Linked DNA regions of Saccharomyces cerevisiae S288C. The gene in region 1 interacts genetically with each later gene. Each region holds a gene or a part of one and is shown on either strand. Other genes may lie near its edges.

Evidence for each region.
Region 2: mutations in YOR097C (region 1) and PUG1 together harm fitness more than expected from each alone (negative genetic interaction), as found in Saccharomyces cerevisiae (one large-scale study listed by BioGRID).

What each region holds. Positions count from the first base shown.
Region 1 is NC_001147.6:506,139-509,077, reverse strand, and holds YOR097C (uncharacterized protein), read left to right. Parts: upstream 1-1,572; coding exon 1,573-2,100; downstream 2,101-2,939. Other genes in the region: FG-nucleoporin NUP1, read left to right, coding at 1-1,130; 40S ribosomal protein eS7 RPS7A, read right to left, coding at 2,311-2,739.
Region 2 is NC_001137.3:557,468-561,096, forward strand, and holds PUG1 (Pug1p), read left to right. Parts: upstream 1-1,986; coding exon 1,987-2,898; downstream 2,899-3,629. Other genes in the region: TOG1 (Tog1p), read right to left, coding at 1-1,213. UniProt on the Saccharomyces cerevisiae protein: Involved in inducible protoporphyrin IX influx and heme efflux.

The DNA.
Region 1 (2,939 bases):
AAAGACCTACACCGCCATCTTTCACCTTTGGCGGTTCCACAACAAATAATACAACAACCACTAGCACAAAACCATCTTTTAGTTTTGGGGCTCCCGAGTCGATGAAGTCGACAGCAAGTACAGCGGCAGCAAATACGGAGAAGCTATCAAATGGCTTTTCCTTTACAAAGTTCAATCACAATAAAGAAAAGTCAAACTCTCCAACTTCTTTCTTCGATGGTTCTGCTTCCTCAACGCCGATTCCTGTCTTGGGTAAGCCAACAGACGCTACTGGTAATACAACATCTAAATCTGCATTTTCATTCGGTACTGCTAACACCAATGGTACCAATGCCTCAGCAAACTCCACATCATTCTCGTTTAACGCCCCTGCTACTGGTAACGGCACAACTACTACTTCCAATACCTCAGGAACCAATATAGCGGGTACATTTAACGTAGGAAAACCGGATCAAAGTATCGCTAGTGGCAATACGAATGGAGCGGGCTCGGCATTTGGCTTTTCGAGCTCAGGAACAGCAGCAACTGGTGCAGCTTCTAATCAATCTTCATTTAATTTTGGAAACAATGGTGCAGGGGGTCTCAATCCTTTTACATCAGCAACTTCGTCAACTAATGCTAATGCTGGTTTATTCAATAAACCTCCTTCCACGAATGCACAAAATGTCAATGTTCCCTCTGCTTTTAATTTTACGGGAAATAATTCAACGCCTGGTGGCGGCTCTGTATTTAATATGAACGGCAACACTAATGCTAATACGGTGTTTGCCGGCTCTAATAACCAACCACATCAATCGCAAACCCCATCTTTCAATACAAACAGCTCATTCACGCCATCAACAGTTCCTAATATTAATTTTAGCGGATTGAATGGCGGAATTACTAATACCGCGACCAATGCATTAAGGCCAAGTGATATATTTGGTGCGAATGCTGCCTCTGGTTCCAATTCAAACGTAACAAATCCATCATCCATTTTTGGGGGGGCAGGTGGTGTGCCGACAACTTCTTTTGGGCAGCCGCAGTCAGCCCCTAATCAGATGGGGATGGGAACAAATAATGGCATGAGCATGGGCGGTGGTGTTATGGCGAACAGAAAGATTGCAAGAATGAGGCACTCTAAAAGGTAAATATCGGTTATGTAATTAGGTATTGTGTTGCTTTTCTGAAGGATATATATTCCTATATTCCTTCAACTTATACACTGCATATGAAACTTCTTGAGAAGTTTTAAATAATTGGTCTTTTTTTTAATCGGGTACAGGCGAGATAATGGATACCTGTTCTAGGGTAGGCAAATTTGGAGGCAAGAGCCCAAAATTGTTTTGTTTTGACCTGGTTTCTCTCAGTTAACATATTATGAATAGCATCTTACAAATAATTTACGAGCGAAACTTTCGATCTGCAAAGCGCTCCTTTTTTCTTTCCGAAAAAATACAGTAAAATAAGGTCTAGTACACAGCCTGATCTACAATTAGTGTTCTTTTCTGTTTACTTCGATCAGCTGTTTAGCTTTGCCACTTTTCTAGTAGCTCCACACGCTGTGAAAGTAACGAGACATAGAAGTCACGGATGGATTTGAAAAGGGATTGGTTACGATGGAAAATTACAATAGGTAGTGGGCCTGGCAGTATTGTGCTGGATTTCCCATCATTTTTGGTAGGGTGCGTATTCACAACAATGATGGGGCCAATATTACAGAAGCTTATAGGTAAACTTTTGGTAGGTTTAATAACGGTATGCAAATTCTTAGTTATTATTGGAAGCATTGTCTTCGTTATCGGAGTTGCATCAAAGAAATACACATATGACGATTTCAAAGTAAGTATAAAAAGATCAGGAGAGCCAGGGGAATCACATGATATGAGGACTGAACCAAAAAGAACTGCGAAAACGGCAACTGTTCCAATGGAGAAAGACGAGGGCGTAGGTTCTTATAATTATTTTGAAATACCTATAACGAAAGAAACATCTACAATTCCTTATATTAATTGTGATGGCACGAGCTCACTTAGAAAGCCACCCAACGGTCCATCAAGCGTAGGCTTATCTAACTCCAACAGATACGAAAATTTTATAAACATGGCACGACATAAATAAATGTTTGTATGGCAACCTGTCGATTTAGCGGCAATCATACGGCGGTGAAAAAGTATGTAACTATGCATAGTTGTCATAAAATTTATTTGATTCAGATCTTTGCAAAAAGTATTTTTTTTTGGAATTTGGAGTTTTTATTATCTTATTGTGCTATAAAATAAACAAAGTTGTTACTAACTAATAATAAAGATTTAGATATTATTATATTAACTAATGAGTTTCACTTGGAATTTCGAAAACAATTTGCTTACCAGTCAATTTGTTGTAAACAGCTTGGAAAGATTCCAATTTGTAGTCGATTTGTTGGACATCCTTTGAGTCTAACAAAACCTTTTGGATCTTGTTACCACCAACCAAATATCTAACTCTCTTACCAACGATTTCAGTTGGGAAGACTAAGTCTTCCAAGATCTTGTCATGAACAGCAGTCAAGGTTCTGGATCTTGGTCTCTTTTGGACTTGTCTAGATGTTCTAGATGGCTTTGGCAAGATTCTTCTTTCAGCCAAGAAGATGACATGACGGTCTTGGAATTTCTTTTCCAATTCACGGGTCAACTTAGTTTGAACCTTGTGGAAACCAGCCAAAGATGGGACTGGAACAAAAATGGCCAAAGCCTTCTTACCACCAGCAACGTCGATCTATAAAAGAAGGAAAACAAAAAAGGAAAATGTTAGTAAGTTTGATTAGGTGATATTTTGAATATTTGAAGAGTTGACGCCAGTAACTTGTAAATGATATATGCATGGACGACACCGCTTAGAACTTGGACCGATTGTAATTAACTATCAGAACCTTACTGCGTATAGCATGATCTAGTAAATCGTTCCCTTCTTCTTAA
Region 2 (3,629 bases), on another chromosome or scaffold:
AGAGACACGAAGTCATTTCATGTGGTATCAATGGCTGCTTACCGGTGACCAATGAATACCATCTATCCCACCAGTAGCAGTCCCACCATAACTTACGATATTCTTCGGCAGTGTCCTCATCCTGACCAATATAATATTCCCAACGATTCAAACCAGCATCCAAACTTCGCCTGGACATCGTGGAAATAATTCTTCCCAGCACAAAAGGATCGTCTATCCAATATCTGTGTTTCATCAACGAGACTAAGCCCTTTAAAATAGTCAAGTCGTACATTGTCGAAAATAGGGATCTTTCAAAATATTCAAGACAGAGACAAAAAATCAACTCATCTTGCTCAAGAAAATATTTCAAAGGAAGTAATTTTTTGGAACTTTTACGATCCAACGCCTTGTGGTGCTGTTCCATCAATTGTACTCCGTACATAAACCAGTCTGTTGGTTTATTGAATTTGATTGTTTGGTTAATGTTTGTATTTCCTTTGATTTCATTCGATATATTTGACATAATGTGTTGAATAAGTACGTCGTTCCCACATGAAAGTCCGTTTAGCTTTGAATAATACTCTAAAGGAGATATCGAAGTTACTTTAGGACCAGCATGGCTAGCAGAGCTAGCGTCAAGAAACTTCAAAAATAAATAGATAGTTTCTCTCGTCTCCCTATCATTCGAACATGAAATCAATTTTTTAGTTATCCAGCTAATACCCGTAGAGGCAAAATATAGCAACGGTGAATAGACCCCAAAGTACATACTGACATTTTGTGCAGTATTGCTTTCAAAAGCGTTGGAGAACCTATTCAAAGATTTTGACTGTTTCCCGATAATTTCTGTTTCTATCGATTTCAGGCCACCATACGAGCTAATTTCCTTACTGTCCAGATTGAGGTAAAGCTGAGGTTGTATTTTTTCAAGCTCAGTGCAAATGTTTGCTAGGCCTTTCTGTAAAGAGGCCGGTGCGCTTGGAGGTAACTGTGCCTTCAATTTTGCTATGCTGCACTTAGCATTATCCAAATCATTACTGAGACTACCAGTATAATTGAAAAAAGCCTCAATCGGTTCACGAAATTGATTTCTATACGTACATTTTGATTGAGACCCAATACACCCAAAACATGGCTTCTTACTGTTGCACTTAATCTTTTTCCTATGGCATCTATCACAGGCCTTGGTTACCCTAGATTTTTGTTTGGCTAATCCTCTTTTTGCTGCCATCTCAATAAAATATAAAAAGCTAAAAAGCTTAAAATTTAAACAACAATAATGTCGTTAACCTAATGCGCTTATTCGATGAGATTTGGATTTGCTTCTAGCTTATAGAAAGGAAGAAAGTTTTTACTGTTCAAAGCACACATCAAAAAAATTATTACCCAGCCTTTCAAACAAACAAAGTACTCCAAAATAGTTATTTTTGAATACTAGCAAACCAACCAATCACTTTTTTTGTTGGATTATCAAATAAGCCTAATCAGGTCTTTCATGCAGCGTTGAATCCAGGTTACTTCACCGCACCTTAAGTTAAGATCAGGACAGTATCGGCTGTTCCTGAGAAACCAGCCATATTCAAGTTTCGGTATCCTAACCGTTGATATTGTCCTTATTTGTCGACCTTCAAATATTGTGGCTGCCATGTATATGAGCGCCTCGATCTATTATGACTAAGCCATGCGATTGTCGTGTAATGGTATCGCGCATACTGAAGGTTTCAGCCCTGTTTTGATGTGCCGCGGCAAAGTGGTTTTTCTCCATACAGGATGAAGTGTTTCTTTCCCCATGCCGCGGCAAGCTCATCCTAAATAAATCTCAACTTTTCAACTAAATGTACTTCAATTGAACAAATGCCAAGACCTCAAATGAATCAGTATAAAAGCACCTACCGAATCAATTGTGGGATGTATAGTCTCTTGCCTCAAAATGTCCAGGATAGTAGGTTAATAGTGTCCAATTACATAGCTACTTAATCTTTTATTGTCCATCAACGTTCCAAAATGTCCACAACTGATTCGGGGTTCGTACTTTACCACTATACGCCAAGTAAAGCGGCTGCAATCGTATTTGTCGTACTCTTCATTATAATGACAGTCATTTTTGCCGTTCAAACTTTATATGCTGCGAGAAAATCTTCTAAGGCATTGAAAAATAATCCATTTGAGTCATCTGATGATAAGGTCGATAGTCTTGAGGATGCTGAATACAAGCAACTAAAAATCACACCCACAGTTTTTGCGTTTATACCTTTCTTCACTGGCTGCATCATGGAAGCTGTCGGGTATATCGGGAGGGCTCTATCCAGTTCCAATCCTGAAAGAACGACCCCATATATTATCCAATCTGTTCTTTTATTAGTCGCTCCAGCACTAATAGCTGCGACGATTTATATGATTTTTGGAAGGTTATTACATGTTATGAGGTGCCAATCTTTAATTTTGATTTCTGCACGCTTTGGTACGACTTTCTTTGTTGTGGGAGATGTGTTTAGTTTCTTTTTACAAGCTGCAGGTGGCGGACTAATGTCTAAGGCAGGATCAACGAAGACTGGTTCAGGACTCATAACTGCGGGTCTTTTTGTACAGGTAATTTTTTTTGGATTTTTCATTATCAATGAGATAAGATTCACAGTAAATGTTAAAAGGAGATGCTTATTTTACGAAGATATTTCCAGAAAGTGGATCTTTGTGAATGCTACCCTATTATTAAGCAGTATGTTGATCCTACTACGTTCAATTGTCCGAATAGTTGAATTTATTCAGGGATTCAATGGCTATATAATCTCTCATGAGTATTTCATATATGTCTTCGATGCTGTACCTATGTTATTGGTAATAATAGCATTTAGTGTGGGATCCTTTTTCGGCAACGTATTCGATGTTATAAAGGAGTGTCAAACGTTAAGTAATTAGATAATATATATCAAATTTTGATTTCTATGTAGTGCAGCCAATCAATTTTAACTTCATTTAGAATAAAAATCTTTCCTCTTCTGCTTTGAAGCCATTAAAACGAAAGATCTAGGCGGTACTATTTCTCCATTCTCAGCCGTACAATCATGCACCGAAAAGGAAGGCAATGTATTGAATTTTTCGCCGAGAACAAAATATTTGTAAACACTCGTTAGATTCCGCATTGTTAAGTGGCATCACAAACACAATCAAGATTAAGAGAAAAGTAGCTCGTTGAGAAAGATTCTTGTACATATCGGGATACTTCTGAAGTCTAATAAAACATTCAAATAAAGACAGACTGGATAAAAGATTCCTGAACGTCAAAACTTATATCTTCTTGTCCCTTGGAATGTCTCTCTGCTCTTATATTGTTGCTGTTGAGTGGTCTCATGACAATAAAGTATGTCACTGAATTGAAGACTACTGAACCATGGCAGCTAATACAATCACGCCCATCCAGAAAAGTGTCGTGTGGCGAAAATTTTTGTTCACGTTGAACAGAGGGTACTGATTTCAAAGTGCTCTTAAGTCGTAATGACGGCCCTAATAATGATTTCCAGACCCTTTGGAAGGAGTTTCTTCTTTAAGTACTGCCCTCCCTGATCTATATTTGTAGGAAATTTTTAAAGTACCTAGCCTTTTTCTCAGTCACGGCTGTAGAGTGTACACAGAGCCTTTGAAGTTTGGTG